Linked DNA regions of Notamacropus eugenii. The protein of the gene in region 3 interacts with the protein of the main gene of each other region in a pairwise test. Links are inferred from orthologs where the notes say so. Each region holds a gene or a part of one and is shown on either strand. Other genes may lie near its edges.

Region 1 (7,594 bases), on a different chromosome or scaffold from region 3:
ATTTGCTTGGCCTCAGTCTATAGTAGATATAATTCTCTTGAATTAAGTACAGCAACATCTTGGCAAGCTGGATGGAAAGCATAATGTTGTTAATTCTAGCCTAACAAAGACCAGATTGTAAGCTCCATGACAACAGAACAGAATAGTACTCACATTTGTTGCTTAATAAATGTTTGTCGACTTGAATTCAATTCTCCTTTGTATGCTATTGTCATCATCATAATCATCATCCCTCACTTTGGACAAGCTTTCAGTTTAAAAAAAATCACAAAATTAAAAAGCACTACAGAAAGTTTCTCTGATCTGAATATTATAATGATGATGCTAGCCTATTACATTTGTGTGACATTTTATTGTTACAAAGCACATTGCAGATGTCATCTGATTTAATCCTCAATACCATTAGGTAAGTAAGATATATTGTGACTCCTTTATAGATGAGGCAACTGGAGCTCAGAGAGAGATCAAGTGATTTGCCAAATGTCATATTGCTAAGGCAGGTTTTCTTACTCCTTTCAAGTTGAATGTTCTTTCTATGATGCTTCCTTCTCACAATAGAGCATCTATCTACCTATTGTACTTACTCCTCTATTTTCCCTTCTTAGAGTCTCTTCTCCCAAACACTCCTTGTTTTGAAAACAACTAAAAAAAAAATCTGTTGTTCCATCCCTCCCATTGTTTTCTTCTTCTCTGAAACAGCAAGCTAGGGTACTGATTATTTGAGGCCTCTAAGAATCAATTTCATAGCTAGAGATAAAATGCTCTATAGAAACAAAACCTAAAAGGTAATTTTAAAATTAATTATTTAACCTACCTGTTTATTTTTACAGAATGAATGTGCCTTGTCCTAGATAAAGCACTAGCTTGGGTTAGAGAACAGGAGAACAAGCAAGAGTTTAGCATTGTTTGGCATGCAGCAAACTATGGCAATTATACCTATGTAGCCAGTAGGAGGTCCTTTGGGCACATTTTACAGTCCTTCAGGGAAATCCTGGAGCAGTACTCTGGGGCTACCTGGAACACAAAATTTTAAGTCAACAATAAACCAAGTATTTATTAAGAACTTTCCATGAGTCAGCCACTGTAATAAATGATGACACGAAAATAGTTCCTCCCCTGGAGACGTTTACATTCCAAAGGAGGAGACATTATATAAACAACTATGTACATTCAGGATATGTATATAAGGTAAATTGGAGGTGAAGACGCTAGCAGTGAGGGAGAACAGCACAGAAAAAGTGTCTTGTACAAGGTCAGAGATGAGCTGAGATTTGAGGGAAGCCATGGGAGGCAAAAGGAAGAGATAGGAAGGGAGAGCCTTAATTCCAAACAAAACAAAGCAAAGCACTTTGTTCTTTGGGTTCAGGTACTTAAGAGTACACATATATGTATAAAACCCATAATTATAGAATATACGATTTCTTCTGATAAGTAACACAGGCAGACCTTAACACAGGGTACAATGTTTAATAAGCAATGATGCCCTATAACCTATAATCACTGGTTCAGCTATTCAACAAAATGATAAAATCCATTAGCCAACCTCAGTCTTGCTGAGTCTCTCCCTGACACCTCTGAGAGTAATGCAATCACTCTGAAGTTTGAATCCTTTGAAGATCGGATATCTTGCCTCTCCAGGTAACAGGCTCCTGAAAGTATCCTTAGAAAAGAGCTTTTCCAACCCCCTTCAACTTTACCATTGAGGAAAATGAAACTCAGAGAGATTAACTAATTCACCCAAGGTCCCCCAGAATCAGAGCTAGAACTCCATCCTAGCTCTCCAGATTCTAAGTTCAAAATGCTCCCATGAATCATGATAACAAAGTCACTTCCACATGAGGCCCATTTTAGGTGAGACCAAACAGATATGTTCTTCTCCAGAGAGAAACCAGCAAAAATGTTTCTACTTGTTTAAATTTGGCCAGAAGGGAAAAAGCAGTAAAAAGGCAAAAAAATGTATATGTGTTTGTGATAGGGATTATCAACCAGATTTGAGGCTGCCAGGAACTAGCAGATGGCTGCCTGAACTGAGGAAGACTGCCTAGCTCCCATATATCTTTTCTAGCAAAAACCTGAAATTTGCACCAAACTGAAAAAATGATTATAAAATCTAATGAGAAACTACAATAAGTGACTTATTCTCTCAAAACTATACAAATAGCCATCCAGAAACTCATAGGTAATAGGAAAGGGGAACATTAGCAAAACCAGTACCAGCAGAGGCAAACAAGCCGGTGGCCTTCCAGTGTTGCCAGTGAAAGTACTGTGTGCAAAGCCAGCAAAAAAAGAGGAAACCCTCCCAAGAAAGCTTTGAGTTGTCAGAAAGCCCATGGAGGGTCAGAAAAGAGCAGGAACCTTGAAAGTCATCAGGCGTGGCAGTGATGGGTATGATACTGATACTCAGACCTCCATGGACCCCTAGCATTGTATTCTGCTTTTCCAAATTGGGTCCAAAAGATCCAGAATCCAAAAGATCTCTGAAATCTAAAGATGGGGGGGGGGGGGGGGGAGGAGGCTCTAAGCCCAGGTGGTAGAGGACAGCACAGGATCCAGGGAACATAAGGGAACAACAAACAGAGCCTACAACCTCACCCAAAAGCAGAAGGGAAGAGAGGATGACTCTTGCACAAAGCTCTAATTCAAGTACAGAAGTTGGACAGATGAATGAACCAAAAAGGACACAGATCAAAGAAGAGAGAGATAGAATATAAAAAATTACTATAGATCCAGAGATGCTCTCCTATCAAACTTGTAAAGAGAAAGTCACAACACAAAGTATGCAAATAAAGACTCAAAGAGAAAAATGAATTTTCCAAAATGATAATGCAAATATCTAAAAGAAAGAAAGACATACAAGTAAAATAAAAAGGTCTGAAGGAAAGAATTGAAAAGAAAATAAATAACTTAAAAAAGAAAATGGTAAACCTTCTCCAAAAAATGGACTCCCTGAAAACTAGGATTGACCAATGGACCAAACAGAAATCAATGACTCCACAAAACAGCAAAAAATATTAGAACAAAATCAAAAAGTTGGGGGGAAAAAGAAGAAAATGTAAAGTATCTGATATTTTTCAAGTGATTTGAAAAACAACCGACTTGGGAAATAGGTCAAGAAAAAGAATTTAAGAATTATTTGACTCTTTGAAAATCATTTCTTTTTAAAAGCTAGATCCTGTATTTAAAGAAATGAAAACCACTCAGAGCTCTTGGAAGCAGGGGGCAAAATAAAGTTAGAAAGAATCCTTAAAGTTATCCTAAAAAAAAAAAAGTTCCAGAACTTTGGCAATGTTGTTGCCAAAAAAAATAGTTGCAAGCATCCAGAAAGAAATACTTGTACCAAGGAAAGGTAAGCAGAATTGTACAAGACCTGGCAACAAGAAGGAATAGTGGGATACAGCATTCTAAAAGACAAAAGAGATGGGGTCACAACAGAGAATAATTTACCCAGCAAAGCTGAACATACTCCTGGAGGAGAGTGGGGAGGGATGGGGCTTCATTGGACTCGATTTTCAACCATTTTTGATGAAAAAACCAGAAGTAGAAATTGTGAAATACAAACAAAAGAATCCAGAGTAACCTAGAAAGGCAATTTAATTTGAGCAACTGGAAGAGGACGTGCGGAATTCATGACACTTTTTCAAATCAAGAATAAAAAAAAAGCACGCGAATGACATTGACAAGGCTCACGTGCAACCTCTTTAATACGAAGGGCAGGGGTGGGGGAGGGGTGGGAAGAAGCATGTATTAAACGCCTACTGTTTTCATTTTTTTTTTTTTTTTATCCAACCCTGCGGGGTGGTTACTCTTAGGATTCTCATTTTACGGTTGGGAAAATGAGAGTGAAGCTCTTTGCCCAGGGTCTCCCTGCTAGCTTTGGAACTCAGGTCTCGCCGAACCCAGGTCCGGCGCACTTAATGCCAGCTCCTGATGCCCCCTACAGGAAGTTATTCTCTTTTTCACTGTACCGCATCAGTCCTCTCTGGGCTTCAGTTTCTAGGGTTGGAGCAGACGACATTTAAGCCCTCCAATCCGCAGGCGCATGTTTCAATCACGCGCGATACGACCGTTGGCGTCACCGCCCGAGCTTCGCACCGTGGGCGGCCTCAAGTGGGCGGCCCCGTTATTCCGGGGCTGCTGAGGCTCAGGGGAGTCAGGGTGGCAGGGACAAGACTTCCCACTTACTTCCTCCCATCGGGCATGAGATGGGTAGGAATTTAACTCTGAGGGCACCGTTTCCGGTCACGAGACTCACAAACCTGGTTTCACAACTTCCGCCCGGAGTCGACGGAGGGCTCTGAGCGTCAACTACTTCCTCCCGGAGTCGACCGAGGGTGCTGGGCGTCAGCTACTTCCGCCCGGAGTGGACAGCGGCCAGGAGATGTGCGGGCCTTGAGATCCCGGCTCCTTCCCAGCCCCCCGGAAGAGGACCCTCCCCTCCCCCGGGTCCCCTCAGACGGGGTTGCCGGGGGAAGCAAGCTGGTGGCCGCTTGAGACCCCGGCTTGAGCTTGGTGCGGGAGGTGGGACCCTCCGGACCAGGCCCGCGGGGCCGGCCGCCGGGGGCTTGAGAAAGCAGGGGAGAGAGGACGGAGCAGGCCCCGCCGCGCCTGCCCCGGGCCCCGGGCCGAGATGGAGTTCGCGGAGCTGATCAAGACTCCGCGGGTGGACAACGTGGTGCTGCACCGGCCCTTCTACCCGGCCGTGGAAGGCACGCTGTGCCTGACGGGCCATCACCTGATCCTGTCCTCCCGGCAGGATAACACCGAGGAGCTGTGGCTGCTCCACTCCAACATCGACTCCATCGAGAAGCGGTGAGCCCAGCTCGGAACGACGGCCCCTGCGGGCCTCGCTTGCCTCGTCCGTTACCAGGGTCAGGGGCGGGGCAGGCTGGTCCGGGCGGCCCTTTGTGAGCCCCCCACACTCCTGCCCGGGTCTATTGTCCCTCTCTTTGTATTCCCTGGTTTAACCCGGGGCTGAGCCCTGAGTCGGCGTTTAGTAAGAGTTCCTTAATGTGTTTTAATCTCCAGCCTGGAACAGACGGAGAATGCTTAAGAAACGAGGGAGTAGTTTTCCCCCTGTCTCCAAAGCAGCTTCTGCCTTCCTGAAGACCCTCCTGAGGATCTGGATTGTAGGAAAGGGGGGAAGCAGGAGTAGTGGCCCAAGAGGGGAGCCTCGTCCTAGGCCACCTGCTGTCCCAGCCATCCGTTACTCCGAGGCATAGCTTCAAGTGGTTCTTTGTTAACTTGAATCGTTTGGGATCATACACCAGGTGTCTTTACCTGTTGTAAAATTGAGATAATAATGCTTCCTCGCATACATGTCTACGGTAAGGTAGGATCTGTACACTGCTTTTGACAGCTGAGTGAGACTGGAGCTTTGGCTCTTTCGGTTCTAAGACCTGTCTGAGCCATCCTCTGTCTCTTGTGTTGGGTTATCTTGCTCATCCTACCACTTGACTAGCCTTTTATGCCCCCAAGGCGTAATGTTTATATTTTTAGTTTTATAGCTTTAAATTTCCACCTGGATAGCTAGTTGATATTAACTATGCCTACCACTTCCCTTTTTTGTCCTGGATCCTCTTTTCTTTTATCTTGGTCAGCTTATCAACTCCAGGAGGTTCAATTATCCTTTCTAGCTTGACCAGTCTCCAGTATACAACTAGCTCTAACTCCTTCATTGGACTTCAGTCTCACATCAGCAACTCCCTACTGGACATTTGGGACTGGATAATCCATAGACATCTCAAACTCAGCCAAAACATTATCATTATTTTTCCTCCTTCCCATCCTCCAGTCTTTAATGAACTTTCTCATTTCTCTCAATGACACCACCACTCTTCCGGTCATCCCAGTTTAAAATCTGAGACATCCTTGACCCCTCACTGTGCCTTCCTCCATTTATCCAGTTAGGTGCCAATTCTTATTTCCATCTCCACAACCTTTCACATCTGTTCCCTTCTCTCTGTTACTAGTTCAGGCCCTATATCTTCTGGATTCTTGGTAGCCTCCTGATCAGTTTCTCCTTTCTTCAGTCTTTCCCCTCTTCAAACTCAATAGAAATTGATTGATCTAGAAAACCATAAGTGAACATTGTTTATGTTGTATTTTTATTTCCCAATTTTTCCAATTCCCAATCCCAACATTTCCCAATTACATTTTAATCTGGTTCACTCATTTGATACCTCTGCTCTACACAGCCACTGAAATACTATTCCTAAAGCACTTTGTCACTTCCCTTTCCTAAACTCCAGAGGCTCTTTTTTCTCTGTAGGATCAGTAAAGTCCTTTGGCTTTTAACTTTGTATCCTGGCTGCCTTTTCTAGACCTGTGGTATCTAACTACTCTGCACATACCATCTACAGTTATTCCGAATTGCTTTCTTGTTCTTTACACAGGGCAATCCATTTCCCATCTTCTAGCCTTTGCTCACTTTGTTTGTCACTCTATCATTAGGTGAGATAATATGGTCTTTATAGTCAACTACTTCAGCTTTCACTGAAAGAAATAGGTCTTCCCTAATAGGTTCTGCCCTGGGCAGAATTGTGAAATAGAGACAATTTAGGTCCAAGTCACCTCTCACTTTTGCAGTCTTCAGCCTAGCTGTCTTTAAAATTGTCCCCTCTTGGACTCAGAAATTAGACTTGTAGAATGTTGGAGGTGAGAAGGACCCCAACTCCTTCATTTTGCAGATGAGGAAACTGAAGCTCAGAGAAAGGAAGCAGTGTGCACAACTAATACTGACTAGCTGTCTGGGAGGAAATTTAAATGTTTGACAGCAGCCTGATGTGTCCCACATACAGGGAACACTTAGGTTTTAAACCAGGATTCTTAGAAAGGCGGTGCCTTAGACAAATATCTAATGGGGAAATTTCTGGTGGGAGAACTTAGGAAGGCCTCTTTTCCTTCAGATTAGTAAAGTGGTTACTCAGTAGACCTTGTTTCCCAATATAAATGGTTGTAACTTTTGTCCCTGGCCTTTTTGGTTCTTCACCTCAAATATTTATCACTTGCCCCAAAATTGAGTGCCTGTGTGTCTGTGTGTTAGGGCTAGGCACTGTGGTGTTTGCAAAGAAGAGATATAAAGACTTTCTACTTTTTCTGCACCCACACAAGCTCTTCAGCTTATATTTCAGTAGAGGAGACAATGTACACAACTCACACAGCCTTATTTCAATCCTCCCTTTCTCTTTACTGTCATGGCTATTCTTATTACTTTGCCTCTCTGAATGCCTTTAGTTTTTCTTCGACCAGCCTTCCATTCAGAAAGAAATAAAAAAGAATCATAAGCCCCAAACCATCACAATGGAAACATTTTCCCCCATGTCCCTTGTTATTTTTTACATTTGATAAGAGGTCTAACTTTATGTCTGTCAGATTCTTTTATCATGGTTGTATTTGAATTCCATTAATTTGCCTAAGTGACATTGTCGTTTCCCTTTTTTTGTTTTGCTCTAGATCTGTGATTTCATCTGTGTGGAAACACCTTCCACTGATGAAGATCTTCCAAAAGTAGACTTTGAACTCCATTCAAAGCTCTAGAGAAGAGTATTGAGATCCTAATATGGAAGGTTCTAAAAAATAGTCAAGAATCTGCATC
Region 2 (7,227 bases), on a different chromosome or scaffold from region 3:
TAACACCTAAAAGAAGAAATGAAAAGGTAGAGGAATATGGTGAGGAAGTTCTAAGAATGAAGAATAACTTGGCTAGGCTCTTCCCCAAAAGGGAGGTTCTGGGAAGAACACATCAATGGGAGAAGGAATGCAACAGAGGCGAGGCCGTTGAGTCTTGGTGGTCAAGTCCAGAGAATGGAGAGTGGCTGGTTTGGGTCCTCCCTCAAAATGGAAAGCCTGTTCTTTGTAGTTTTCCAATATTCACTTTCCCTTGTTTTGTGACTGTTATTCTTTCAATTTCCATTGTTGTAGTCATCACATATTATTTTCATGGTCTTTCTTATTTCACTTTGCATCGGTTCATAGGTCTACCCATGTTTTTTGGTATTTATTACATTCGATGTTTTTTATAGCATGGTAGAATTCTGTTACATTCATGTATAACAATTTGTATAGTTATTTCCCAATCTACTTTGTTTCCAGTTTTTTGCTACCACAAAAAGTGCTGCTATTGATATTTTGGGGGGTAAAGGATAGGCAGATATTCCCTTAAATCCCCTGATTTAATCCTCCCATACTCTTCACCTCCATCACACACCAGAATACTCATACTTGATTTAATCATCAGTCATAAATGTTCCATGACTCATAGTAAGTACTCAATAATTAATTAATATTTAATGATTAACACTATTATTAATTCTAACTATAGTTAATAATTAATTGGCATTGATTAGTGACATAATAATTGCTTGCATAACTGAATTTACTTGAGAGATGATGGACACAAGGTATGCGTTTTTGGACATGGACACTGAACAAAATTCTTTTGCTTGACTATGCTTACTTGTTACAAGGCTTCTCCTTTTTTCTCTTGGTTAATTAGGGGGCATAGGGAAAACAGGAGTTAGCAATAGTAATGTCCCCCCAAAATGAGGCCATCATATCATTTTTTAATGCAAAGAAGATAGTTCAGAAGAAAGCATACGCAAGTGAGACAATTTTGAAAATAACATGGAATTTATTACCATATATATTGTTTAAAAAACAAACCATATGAAATGGTGATTCAGCTTCATACAGAATCTGTGTGTGTGTGTGTGTGTGTGTGTGTGTGTGTGTGTGTGCGTGCGTTTATGAAAGTGCTATGTGGTGTAATGTGTATAAAAATGTTTCGGGGGGGAAAGTTTACATTAAAAATTTGAAAATAAAGTTTTTAAAAGAATTAGATTAAGTTGAATTATACCTTCTCTAAGCATAACTCTGAAATTCTTCTATGTCATTATAACTTCTTATCTGGCCATCTCTCCTTGTGCCTTATCTTTCCTGAACCCAGTCTCCATCTTCAAGACAAATTTCAGATACTCCAACCCTTCTGCTTTCCAACCTCCCTTATTCCCACCCTGTATTTCCCAGGCCATTATTTCTACTTTCGTCTTACTTTCCTCCCTTCTGAACTGAGCTGCTGAACTGAGTGGAAGTCCTATCATCCTATTGAATGGATCTACTACAAATTTAGGCCATCTAATCTCGAGTGGGCCTCCCCAGGGCACACCAATCTGTTTTCTCTTTCCTAATTGACTCTTCATCAAACTCCCCACAGTATTTCTTTCAGCCTTCATCTTTTTTCAAGCCACCTACTCCACTGCCTTCTCACTCTTTAACTACATACCTCACTTCACACTTCTACTGAAAAAACTAGGCCATGAGTCATAAAAATCCCTTTCCTTTGATTGCAATTGTGAATCACCTGGACTTCATACCCTATTGTCCCTTCCCTCCTGTCTCAGAGGAAATAGAGGCCTTAAGTCAATCCCTACTCATTTCTGCCAGTAGATTTCCCCTTCCATTATCTCTCCCATCTCCCAAAGGTTCTATTTGTCTTTACTATTGGTTTCCTTCCCTGCTGCTTATATGTAAGCCCAGATCACACTAATCCTTAAAAAAATTTAAATTAAATTTAAAAAACCACATCCTCAAGCTAACATCCTCTATCATTCCTCCTATTCACAGCCAAACTCCTAGAAACAAGCTGTCTACACTTTCTGTCTCAACTTTCTCATCTCCCAATTACTTAGAAACACTCTGTAATCTGGCTTTGAAACATACTACTCAATTAAAATTATGCTCTCCAAAGTCACCAGTGATCTCCTTATCTGAGGTTTTTGTCTCTTCTCATCCTTCTTGACTTCTCTGTCACCAAATGACATTATTTACTCCTCCTGGATTCATTTTTCTACTTGGATTCTTTTTTTTTTTTTGACAAAGGTAACTTATTTTTCTCTTACCTCTTTGGCTGCTCCTTCTCAGTATCCTTTGTAGAATCACCCTTTATGCCCCACTCTCTATGTATGGGAATACCCAAAGGCTCTCTCCTGGGCCTCCTTCTCTACCTTCTTTTTCTTTTTAATTTCATTGTCTCCCATGGGCTTGACCTACGCTTTTCTGAGAATGATGCCCAAATTTACATATCCAGTACTCATCCCTCTCTCCTGATCTCTAGTCTCCTTATCTGTAAAATTCAGAGAAGGCAGCTAGGTAACACAGTGGATAAGAATACCTTATACTGTATCTGTAGCTAAGAAGATTCGAGTTCAAATTTTACCATAGATCCTGGCTGTGTGACCCTGGAGAAGAACTTTTCTCATCTGTAAAATGGGGGTAGAAATAGCATCTCAATCTCCTAGAGTTATTGTGAGTCTCAAATAAGGGCTTTATAAACCTTAAAACATCATCATCCCATAGAGGGTTGTATATTATTACATTAGAGGCCACCTTAGATGGCTTCGAAGGTCTCTTCCAGTTCTAATCTATGACTTTATTTGAGCAAGACAGAACCGCTGCTGGGCCCAAAAGACTAGGACACTTGACCCTGGCCCTTTGTGGAAGGTGGGGCTCACCTGCTCTATGTACAGGCTCCAGTGGAGGAGTCCCACTTCTAATGAGAAAGGCTGGGACCTCCTTTCTCATACCCTTCAGCTCATTACACTGGGGGGCTCCAGGGACCACTTACGTACAACATAGGTTCGGTTCATATCTAGGGTCTCCACAAAAGGGAGGGTAAACAAAACCATCCGGCGTGCACTCTACAAGTGTTTATTTCCCACACACAGAAGGCTGCTAAACCCAGCATCCATGTGCGCCCAGTGACAGGCCTGGGAAAGGTCAGTAGGAACCCCGCTGCTCCCCGGGAGCTTACCGGGGAACACGCCTCTAAGGGAAGGAGTTTGGTGAGGAGTCGTTTTACCTTTTGCGTTGCTACAAGGAGAACTTACCATATATTTACAAGAAAAGGCAAGCGGTGCATACTGGAGACCCCCAGTGCCAGGCAGGATTTCTGCGGTGACACCTGCCCAGGACCATGGGCACGCCACCCTCTCCTTTTCGGAGGGGATGTCTCGGGACGTGTTATCGGGAAGGTCCATTTTATTTGGTGTTGGATGAGTCCATGGTTTTAAACAAGGAAAAACTGTCATTCCTGGGGGAAGGGCCAAAAGAGGGTCTTCGGCTCGCAGGGGGTCCAGGGGGTCCTTGGGTGCTGCGGGGTCCGCGTGCCAGCTCCCTTTTCCCCTCCAGCGCGGTCACTTCTCTCCTGTGGGCCAGGCAGGCCAGGCCTGGAATGCCTTCTTCCTCCCGGACCTCGGCCCGGCTTCCCCGGCCTCCTTGCCGGGGGCTCGGGGTCCCCGGTTGGGCCCGCTGACTTCGTGCATGTGCGCGGCTCTTTGCACTCTGCCAACCCCCTCGGACTGGGGCAAAGTATACCAGCCCCGCCCCAAGCGCTTGACACAAGGCCTGGCATACAACAAGCACTCAACTAGTGCCTTCATCGGGCGGGAGTCCCGAGGTTCCCGGCCCAGGCGGGGCCTCGGCTCTCAAGGTCTCGCATCCCAGACCAGCGCCCCCCGCCCCACGCCCTTGGCACCCGCTGCCCGGGCTCGGGGGCAGGGCGGCGCGCATGGGCAGGACTAGGGCCGGGTGGGGCCCTGGCCCCGCCCCCAGGAAGAGAGACCCCACCCGAGGCCCCGGAGCTCGGGCGGACACGGCCCGGTCCAGAGACAGTTTCCCCGGGTCCGGCACGCCCCCCGGAGATCGACGGGCAGTCTGTGCAATGACGAGGGGAGGGCTCGGCCCCGCGGCCAATCAGACAGCGGAGGGGGCGGAGCCACCGGGGAGGTGGGGACCAGGAAGCAGGCGCCGGGAGGTGCGGGGAGGAGAAGGGAGAACTCCGGCTCGGGTGGAGGCGACGAGGTGACGGGGTCTTCGGGGTTCCTCCTTCCCTTCCTTTCCCCGGGCGGGGGGCACGTCCGCCGGGCCTCCCTCCCAGCGGGGCAGGGCGGGCTGGGAGAGTCTCTCTCGGCGCTTGGAGATCCTTCTCCCTCCTTCCCCTCCCCGCCGAGGCTCTTGGCCGGGAGGCAGACCCCCCTCCCTCCTGGGGCCCCTCCTCTCCCCGCCCAAGGAAAGGGGAACCCCCCGCCTAGCTCCGGGGAGGGGAGAAGGGAGCCCGTCTGCCCCTAAGTGAGCGGAGAAGGGTGCCCCTGGAGTTGGGGGGGCAGGGGATCCGCCCCGGACCGCTGAAGTGGAGGAGGCTTGTGCCACCCGCCCTGCCCCCTCCGGACTGCCAGCCTTTTTTCTTCCTTGTTCCTTGTTCCCCTCCAGGTAACAGAACAGTGCAGCATGTGGAACCCCAGTGCGGGTGAGTGCTCCCTTTACACACCCCCCGCTCTTTCTATCCTTCTTTTAGAGGAGCCTCACGGGGGTGGGGAGGGGTGGTCTTCCTGTGCCCATTTTTTCCCTCCCATAGTTGCCAGTTAAGGCAAAAACTTGACCTCTCTTTTTCCTTTTGCCCCCAACACCCAAGCCTTCCCTCTTTGGAGCTCATTTCATTTTCTCTTCCTTCCCACCGGAGCTGGCTGTCCTTTTCTCTCTATATGCCCCCCTTTTTCCTAACCTCCCCACTGCCTGAAGGAAGAGGGGGCACAGGAGGTACCAGTCCCTTCTCCTCCACTTGTAAGAGGAGCTAGACCTTGCTGCCACTATCTTATTCTGTGCTTCTCTCCCCATCCAGGGCAGCCAGGGATGTACCCTCCTGGGGGTCCTATACCTCCTTCAACTTCCGGGTGCCCTGGGGTTGCCAACCCCATCAACCCACCATCAATCAATCCTGCATACCCTCCAGGTACCTGTCCTGCCCCACCTGGGTGTTTCCCAGGTAATCCAGCCTATCCTCCTGGCACTGCTTTTGGCCCTGGGCATCAGCCAGGATACCCAAGCTGCCCACCCCCAGGTCCCTACCCACCTCCAGGTCCCTACCCACCTCCTGGCCCTTGTGCGCCTTCTGTGAATCCCTTGGTCCCAGGGATAGTGGGGCCAGGTATAGTGGTGGATAAGAAGATGAGGAAGAAGATGAAGAAGGCTCATAAGAAAACGCATAAACATCACAAACATGGCAAGGTCAGTTTCTCTGGGAGCCCTGCTGGGGTTGGGATGGGGAGCATTTCATCAGAGTCTCAGGGACACAATTAGATGGCCACGCCAGTCTGGATTTGCCTTCTCTGTTGCTATCCATCCATGCTGTGGGTGTAGACTAGCTACACACACACACAGAGCATGCTGGCCTTACAAGCCAGAAATAGAAACTGGGTTAAATTCTGCCTCATAATACTTCCCTAACTCTCAGTCCCTTCATCCCTTTAAACCTCCATTTCTTGAGGAAAATAAAGTGGTTGGTATAGATATTCACTGAAATCCCTTCTTTTCAGCTCTAAACTTAAGTTTATGGATCTTTGGCAGATATCTCAGAATTTCTGGGGTTTAATTGCTTCCAGTTGAACAGGATTAGTGATCCATACCCTCCCAGAATGCTGAGGCATAGCTATAGATATATACATACATATGAAAGGACTTGGGAATCTTGGATGGGGTTATGACCACCAAGCCAGTGGGTTAATTAATTTTGTCCTTTGACTCTGTAACTGAACACCTGGAGCTAGGCTCCTATCTCCTCTTGTGTAATCTAAAGAAAGCTAACTAGAATTGGAGCTTAGAGAAACCAGAATTTGAATCTTGGCCTTGGTCCCTTACTGGCTGTGTGGCTGTGGGCAAGTTCTTTAACTTCTCTGAGCCTTTGTTTCCTCATCTGTAAAATGGGGTTAAAAATAGCTACTCCACTTCCCCCATGGTGTTGTGAAACTCAAATGAGATAAAGAATGGGAAGTACTTTATGTACCTTAAAACCTTATTGACACATCATGATAACGATAATGGGCCTTGGAAATTGAGACTTCAAAGAATTGAATGACTATTCTGACATCAGGGAGCCAGGCCAGAGTAGTCTGGGAATCCAGGATTTCTGATCTCTAACCTTGGGGGCACTGATCATTCAAGTACAGTGTTCCTTAGAATGGAACTGAGCAGGTCATATGACTATACAAAGAGCCTAAGTCAACCTGGGACAAGGAAAGAGAAAGGGTAGAAGGTGATGGTTATGGGGCATGTCTAAATTCACTTCATTCCAGTGATAGCTGGGATGCTGCAAAAAAGGGAGAGGTAGAAACTATTGGAGGACAACTCAGGAGCAGCAGTTGGAAAATAAATGTTTACCATTGCTGATAAAGTTGCTGTGCATGCAGGCAAACCAGATTAGATAGTAATTCACAATTTTATAGTACCATAAAGCTTGCAAAGCACTTAATGAGTCTTATTTTTATCCCTCAGTACTTTTGCCTAGGTCTAAGTTACTTAAGAGTAGGGGTCATTTTCATTTATGTGGATTGTCTGTACTGAAGGTGCTGGGGGCTATTCATTGCTTCAGTTATTAACATTTATTTGCCAATTCCTATGCCTTCCTCAAAGAGGTTTTCCCATTCATGAAACCCTTTGACTGAGACACCTTGTTTCAAGCAAAATTATTGAAAAGTCCCTGCAACAACGTGGGTTGGTTTAAACTACTGTTGTGGCATTAATTCCAGGGGGAGAAACTTATTTTCAGTCTGTCGGTGACATTCCATGTGTGGGTTATTGGTCTTAAGTGCACCTTGTATGGGAGGGTACATATTAGAGAGATGGGGAATGGGGTGGGACTTCATGGGGTCAGAGTTCAAAGTCTGATAATGTGTCCTCTCCACTTTCCCATTCCCCTGCAGCATTCTTCTTCCTCCTCCTCCTCTTCCAGCAGTGACTCTGACTGAATCCTGGCCCTCTTCCCCCCAAGTCACACCACCCCAGCTTCTCCCATCAAGCCTTGGACGC
Region 3 (7,736 bases):
ACCACTGATTCTCCATGTTTGCTGTTAACAGCTTCAGTCTGTGTGTGTTGAAAGATGGAGATAACTAGAGACACTGATTTCCCTCCACCCCCAACATCCACAGCTAGATTGCCTCCTAGTTCTACTACAGTTCTCTCTCTTTGACTCTAATTTGTTGTCACAGACCCAGTACAAAGGGGCTGCCTCCAGTAATGTACTGCTAAAGGTTTAGTAAACAGTACTCTGAGAAAAAAAAATGTATACATGACATGCTTTTAAGTTTAATTTGATTTATTCACATTTTCTCCATCCCTTTATTATTCTAAACAACCAACAAAACAATAAAATCAAGTCCTGATTTGTAGCATTTGTCAGTTTCTGATATGCTCTCACTGAAGTTCTAATGAGCATGTCCACACTCTTCATGGGGAAATGTATGTATGATAGGTCTTTTCTCAGGTGTCCATATCAAGTAGACTCCCTTGATCAACTTCCTACATGGGTACAGTCTGATTCACTCATTATATTGTCAGTTCTATGAGGGCAGAGTCTGAGTCAGAGATACTAGTGTTTAACACAAGCTGGCAGACAAGTTCTTCTCCCCTCTCAAAGGGAACACCCTTCCAGTAGCAAAAGAAGTGCCTTTGTTTTTGTAATGAGCATTTGTATTCAGCCTTATTATTGCAAAAGAAGGTACTCAACTTTTGAGCCACATTTACAACCTAGTACTTTCTCCTTTCTTTTAGAGGGATTTCTGTTTTCGTTTTCTTTTTTGCAAGTCTCTTCTCTCCCCCACCCCCCACCCCAATATCCATAGCAGTTTCCAAAAGGCAGAAATGAAGAAAGGGGAAATAAATTTTGGTTGGCGGCAAAATGGCCCAATCTTCATTTGGGAATCTTCTTAAGCGTCTAACTTTCCTGAAAGAGTTTGCAGGCTAGGTCAGTCTGGGCTTGGAATTTTGTCCACCCCAGGGAAAGTTCCTTACTGATAAAATCATGGGTACTAATCAACAAACAAACAAACAAACAAGTAAGTGAAAGTTAAATATCCCGCAGGCATTTAAAGTTTAGATTTGCCCCAGTGTCCTGGACCAGAACTATCCCTCCCCCAATAGTCATTCAGTATGCTCCAGCATGATCTGGATGATCCCAAGCCAGATTGGATTTCAGTTTTAAGGTGGCAAAGTTTAAGGTACAGTCAAGAAGGGCTTTTAATAGTCCTCATAGATATCTCTCTCTCTCTGATATGAAGCACCGTGCCTTGCCTATGGGATCAAAGACTGCCTTGCCTATGAGATCAAAGACTTTTGAAGCAAGAAAAGACCTTAAGAAGTTTTCTGTTCATTTTACAGATCCATCTTTTTGCATTCCCCCAGCTGCTAAATGCTCCCTACACCTCTGGAAATTATCTTGTATACTTAATACGTAGAAATATCTATGTACATATATCTATTCCTATTTATACATGTTTTATCCAATAGAATGTAAGGCAGAAACTTAATTTTTTTTATCCCTAGTGCCTAGTTTGTCTTCAAGTTTTAAAGAAAGGGCTTAATTATAGGGAAACCTAGAGCTCTTAGTGATCAAGTGACCTGCTCAAGGTCACAAAGGTAATGAGTGACAGAGCAAGAATTCAAACCTAGGTTTTCTTACTCAAAATCCAGTAGTACTGTTTCCAGTCCTTCCTTGTTATTCTGTCAGTGATCAATCGTGTCTAACTCTTCATGACCCCATTTGGGGTTTTTCTTGGCAAAGATGCTGCAGTGGTTTGCCATTTCCTTTTCCAGATCATTTTACAGATGAGGAAACTGAGGCAACCAGGATTAAGTGACTTGCCCAGGGTCACACAGCTAGTAAGTATATGGGGCTGGATTTGAACTCAGGAAGATGAGTCTTCCTCACTCCAGGTCTGGTGCTCTATCCACTGTACTTGCCTAGCTGTCTTCCATTTTCCTCACATTAGAGATGGGGCAGCTGGTAGTACGGTGTATAAAGTGTTGGCTCTGGAGCCAGGAAGAGCTAAGTTCAAATCCTACTTCAGACATTTTCTAGCTGAGTGACCCTGGGCAAGTCATTTCACCTCTACCTCCATTTCTTCATCTGTTACATGGAGATAATAGCACTTATCTCCTAGAGTTGTTGCAAGGATGAAGTGAGGCACCTTCAATGTTATATAAATGGTAGTTATTATTATTTATTATTACTGTTAATAATAATATAGTAATAATAAATTAAGGTTCAGAGAGGCAGAGACTTATTCAAGCTTACAGATCCAGGGTACTTTGGCACTCTAGCACAGTCATAATGCCTTCCTACTGTCTAAGGGCACTATGAGGGTCTGAGATGAGAAGGAAACACCTGCCCCATTTAACTCAGAATTGGCATAAAAATAAGATTAGGTAATGTCTACTAATAGCAACTCACATTTGAATAGCACTTTACATTTTCCAGAAAGCTTTCTTCACAACTCTGTGAGGCAGGTGGTATATGTATCTGCATTCCAGTTTTACAGGTAAAGAAATAGAGACTCAGTTTAAGTGACTCCCTAGTAAGTCACAAAACTAATAAATGTTAGAACCAGAGTCTCAAAAACAGGCTTTTAGATGCCAAGTTCGATGGATGCCTTTTCCATTATGTCAGGTACTTACTCTATTTGTTCTATTGAATTGGTTATCATATCGACACCCAAAGTCTCACCTTTTGAAAGGCAGCTGTAGTGGGTAAAGAGATGGTCTCAGTGGCAGGGAGGGCTCTCTCGTTGCTCTAGGCAGCTGTTGGATAGTTACAGAGAAGGTGCCCATATGCATGGGAAAAGGCAATTTTTCTGCTGGGAAGTTCCCAATACTGATGAAATCATACATCCAGTCCAAAAAAAAATGACGCCTTTTAAAATGAGCATTTGCATAAGGGGAAGTACGAGGGAAGGGAGAAAGAAGAAATACTTGAGAATTCTAGCACCTTTATCCCCAAGAGGGCAAAAGCAATTTTTAGAACCACTGTGTTGCAAGGAACCCCCTAAAATTATCTAGGCCATTCTTGAAAGAAAAATAGGCTGCCCTATTTTTCAAGGCCTCCAGGGCAGGAGATTCCACAGTTTCCCCAGGTGGTACATTCCAGTGCATAGTCTAAATTGTTCAAGGATCCTGGAAAGAGGCCACAAAAATATAAAATATTAAAATTCAATTATGAATGAATGAATAAATCCTTGTTTACCACACTCCCTCACATTTGCTCTTTAATATTCTCGTAATAGCCCATTTTGTCATGAGGTAAGTGGCATTACCCTTATTTTTCCTGGTGGAAAAAAGGCTGAATGGCATACAGCCCAGGGTCATACAATAAGCTAGGAATAGAAATAACTTCTGACTCCTCCTTCCTGTCTCTAACTAGCAGGCAAAGTAGCCTTATTAATAGCATTCTAATCTGAATCATTTAAATTACTTGTAATTGCAGGCCTACAAAGAATTGTAACTGCCCCGTGCCAGCTGAGCAAGCTGTAATGGGCATGACTACTGTTACAAACGTCTAAGTCTGTCATTGGAACACAAAAAATGCATTTTCAAAGTTGGAACATCTCATTTGAAAATAGCAGCCCATCCTCCTGGTTAAGAGTGTGGTGCAGGGTCACCCTCCCTCCAAAACAAAACAAAAAATTGGATTTTGAGTCAGAAGACGTGGGTTTGAATTCAAGTTCTGCCAGCTGTCAACTCTAATCCTCAGAGCCTCAGTTTCCTTCCCTGAAAACAAGGAGGGAGGACTACAGGATTTCTTAAAGTTCTTTTCAGCCCTAACATTCTGAGTGAAGTATGAATGAGGTCCAACAAAATTAATTCATTTAACAACACTTTCATGTCTACAATGTGCTGGGCACAGTATGTATGATATTTAAATAAAAAATCAAACAACCCCTGCCCCAGAGGAACTTATACTCTAGTAAAGAAAACAATATGTGCACAGATAAGTTGGTTATAAAACTTATACAAGTAAACACAAAGGTTTTTGGGGTTTTTTAAAGTTTTTATTATTCTATTAGAGATAGATTTCTGGAAAAGAGCAAATGATATCCATTCAAAAAAGCTATTGAATTTCATGGGGTCCTAGAAGTAGAGCAGGAAGATCATTCAGTCCCTCCCTTCCCCATATTTTACAAAAGAGGAACTTAGTCCCAGAGGTTAAGTGACTGGCACCAAGGTCACTTGGCAGGGAGCAGATTTTGGATTTGAACTCGGGTCTTTTGACTGCCTCTTCAGCTAGCTCTCTACACTACTTCAGTTTCTACGCAACCGATCTTCACGTGTGCTTGGGTTAAATCAAGTAAGTTCCTATCACGTTTGGGTGTTTAAATTTCTCGTTTAACTCTTCAGCAGTCAACAGAGCTGTTAACAGAGTTAGGGAGCTGTGTCGTGATGAAAACAACCCAGGAGCAGGCAGGTTGGGTTGTGACTTAAAAAAGAAAGTAAATACCTGACTGCAAATGACTCTAACTGAATAATTCGCACCTGGCTGCAGGTATTCAGGTAAATGACAGGTACGGAGGAATTTACTGACTGGTTCCCTCACTAAGGTCGAAGCCACGAAGATTATCTTTTCAGGGTTCTGTGTGATGTCACACATTTCCTGCTCCAGGCCAACCAATACCATTCATTCTTCCTCCCCGCAGACACCTGCAGAAGGAAGGCAAATGCGGTGTCAGGACGGACCCGACGGAGTTTGATTGACTTACGTGCTAGGGATGCGTGTGCTCTGCCAGACTGTGGCCAGCTTCAAAAACCCTAACACCTGGAAAGGTGAGTTGAAACGCCCATTTTCTCTCTGGATAGTTAGACCACTGGTCACATTGTTCCGAACAGGAAACAGGAAAGAAATTGGCCGAGTGAGTACAACTTTAGTTTTTTCTCAGGAGAGGGGAGCTCCTTCTGGGAGAGAAGTTGGATGCCTAATGGATCTTCTGGTTAAAGCCACATGGCTAACTAATGCTGCCTTTTGAAACAATTAATTCAGCCTCTTCCTTTCTGGGATATTGATTTTTTTTTCCTTCCCTTCCCCCCATAAAACGGAACTGCCTAGGTGAGAGGAGTTGACAGGTATTTGTAATTGGATTTGGAATTGTAGCTTTCTTTAATCTGTAGTGTTAATTTCAATGGGGAGAGGGTAAGTTTTCATTATGCTAATTTCAGGGTGGGGGAGGGGAGACTTTTATAATGCTAATTTCAGTTGTGAGGTGGGGACTGCAGGGCACTCTTAGAATCTGGTCAACTCCCTCTGCATTTAACTTTTTGCTTTTATCGCAGTTCATTTCTACCTGAAATTGTAAAAAATTGTTTTTTTCCTTAAAAGTATTTTCAAAGCACCTCTTGTTTGCCCACTCAATACTTCCTAAGATTGTAAGTTCAGTTTTTCCTTATGTCCCCTCCAGCCCACCCACATCGCAATATTCCTGATCCCTAAACTTTTTTTGAAGAAGGCAAATATTTGATCTTTGTCCTCAATTGTACAATCTGTTGTCACAGGGAGACTGGGATCTGGATTAGAATATTTTATACTTAGCCATGTGTTTACTAAACTTTTAGCTCAGGTAAAATGGATTATCCTTTCTGAGCTTCACAAATGGGGTACAAAGGTTTTTTCTCCCTCTGTGCTACCCACCCCCCTTGCTTTTAACAGCAAATAAACTGTTTAGTAGGTTGTTCTGCCAGGACCTTCCTTACTTTTTTTCCCCTCCTAAATGTAACTTTAGCTCTGGGACCCATTTTTTTTTTGTTTCCTTAATAAAGATCTCACAGCTAGTACACCCTGCAGCCTCACCCTCAGTGTGCCAACTTACACTGGAGGCATTTAGATGGGGGGTGAGGGGGAGAAGAATCTGTGGCGTGCAAGCCACACACAATACTGGGGAGCCAGGGCCTGGCTGTGGGAAATCCAGGCAGAGAAGCAGCACTGTGAGGTGCAACGTTCCAAACTCCTACATCAGCTGTTTTGCTGAGACAAGTTAGCAAAAAAAAAAAAAAAAAGTTTGTAAGGAAGTGATCTGTTAGCAATTATGCTGATAGTCATCCACCCCAAAAGTCAAAGTGCACATTCATTCTCCAAAAGTAGAAATGGAAACAATCTGGGGAAGTTTGTTTCGGACAGAGTAACCTCTCACTGAGCCAAACTAGTCCTGCTGTGGCTGCCAATTCCTCTTACTCCTTGGAGACCACTATTGTTCTCCTCTCTGACCTTTCTGTCCTTTTTTTCTGAGCTCATGTGCTTGGCCGGTGGCTACTGCCTTTGCCTTATTAGAACTGGGATCCAACACAATATCTACCCAAGATGTAACGCATGTGAAAAATGATAAAACCTCTCTTAAGTGGGATTATCTTCCTCCAGTTAACTGTGGTTCAGTAGTACCTTGCTCAATAGTTCACTTCTTTTTTAAGCACTAATATTTGAGCCTTAGTCAAATAATTTTATTTCTTCATCTCTCCTTCTCTCCTCTCCTTCTCTCCGTCTCCCTCTCTGTTTGTCTCTTTCTGTCTGTCTCTTTCTCTGTGCTTGTAGGTATGTATGTATATTAAAGAGGGCAAGTCTATAAGCAAACGTATAATGGGGGAGAAAAGGAATTGTGAGTAGGGAGAGAGAAGGAAAAAGGGGGACAAAGGATAGAATCATAGATTTAGAGTGAAACCTTTCATGCTATCTAGTCTGATGCCCTTATTTTACAGATGAAGAAACTAAGGCCCAGAGATTTGAAGTAACCTGCTGAAGGTCACAAAGATTCAGAGAGAGAGGGAGAGGAAAGATGGAAGTGGGGGTGGGGGAATAAAGTCAGTGCTCAGTGATTGGGATTCAGGGTAAAACATTCTATTCTAGAATGGAGCCAAGGTCATGGTTCAGTGGCTCACTGGGGTAATCTGTACTTTTTTTTTTAGTAGATTGAGGCTTTGCTAAGAGATGGCCATTTAAGGAGTCCAATTTTATTTAAAGTTTCCCTGGGCTACCTGAGGAACTTCATCTAAAGGACTATTGGGAACACAGATTTTAATAATCATGATAGTAATTGTTATTATAAATTGTGAATTATTAAATTCATCATTGATAATTCCCATAAAACCTAACAAAAGAAAGGAGTGAAGCAGAAGCAAGGCTTTTGAATTTCCTCCATAAAGGAGGTTGAGCTGATTGCCACCAAGTCTCCAGCAGAAGGAAGGAACTGCTGTGCCCTGTCTGCTCTGTCCCACCTGCTACCCCCCTTCCCCCCTCTCCTTCCACCCACCCTAGAGAGCAGCAAATGCAGGGCATCCCACAAACCACTGGGCAAATGCTCCATTGTTGTCTGGAGTAATGTGATGGTGACAGAGTTTTTCAGTACAGTTCAACAAAGGTTTCTTAAGTGCCTACCTGGCTGTGAATATTAATCCCAGGAAGATCTCCTATCAAGGGGTTGATATATCTACAAAACTGAAAAATGGCCCTTTCCCTGCCTCACTGGGAACTTCCATTCTACTGAGGGTGGAAAAAATAACATGCAAAAAGCAAACAAGATTGAGTATATCTGACAGAAGAAATTCAGATAAAGTATTATTCTAAGGAAATGTGAGGATCAGAGACCACTTTCAGTTTGGTGGGGCAGGGAAGGCAAATGGGATCAGCCATGCTCTTTCTTGGTCATAGATCTAAAGCTGGAAGAAATCTTTGAGGTTATCTAGTCCAGCTCCCTTATTTTATACAAGAGGAAAGTGCAAACCAGAGAAGTTTAAGGAACCCTGACCCCAAAT

Evidence for each region. The genes of interacting proteins can lie anywhere in the genome.
Region 1: the proteins of LNX1 (region 3) and MTMR9 interact in binary tests that used the Homo sapiens proteins (3 or more experiments, as listed by UniProt). The link is inferred for Notamacropus eugenii from reciprocal best matches to the Homo sapiens genes LNX1 and MTMR9.
Region 2: the proteins of LNX1 (region 3) and PRR13 interact in binary tests that used the Homo sapiens proteins (3 or more experiments, as listed by UniProt). The two-hybrid records come from large-scale screens. The link is inferred for Notamacropus eugenii from reciprocal best matches to the Homo sapiens genes LNX1 and PRR13.

Annotation. Positions count from the first base shown.
Region 1 is NC_092872.1:610,944,566-610,952,159, forward strand, and holds the start of MTMR9 (myotubularin-related protein 9), read left to right. Parts: upstream 1-4,482; 5' UTR 4,483-4,627; coding exon 4,628-4,809; intron 4,810-4,960; exon of another isoform or gene 4,961-5,324; intron 5,325-7,594. UniProt on the Homo sapiens protein: Acts as an adapter for myotubularin-related phosphatases. Increases lipid phosphatase MTMR6 catalytic activity, specifically towards phosphatidylinositol 3,5-bisphosphate and MTMR6 binding affinity for phosphorylated phosphatidylinositols.
Region 2 is NC_092874.1:226,458,906-226,466,132, forward strand, and holds the start of PRR13 (proline-rich protein 13), read left to right. Parts: upstream 1-4,115; 5' UTR 4,116-4,227; intron 4,228-4,635; 5' UTR 4,636-4,653; coding exon 4,654-4,672; intron 4,673-5,044; coding exon 5,045-5,430; intron 5,431-7,121; coding exon 7,122-7,166; 3' UTR 7,167-7,227. UniProt on the Homo sapiens protein: Negatively regulates TSP1 expression at the level of transcription. This down-regulation was shown to reduce taxane-induced apoptosis.
Region 3 is NC_092877.1:105,074,762-105,082,497, reverse strand, and holds the start of LNX1 (E3 ubiquitin-protein ligase LNX), read left to right. Parts: upstream 1-4,636; 5' UTR 4,637-4,766; intron 4,767-4,768; exon of another isoform or gene 4,769-4,852; intron 4,853-7,736.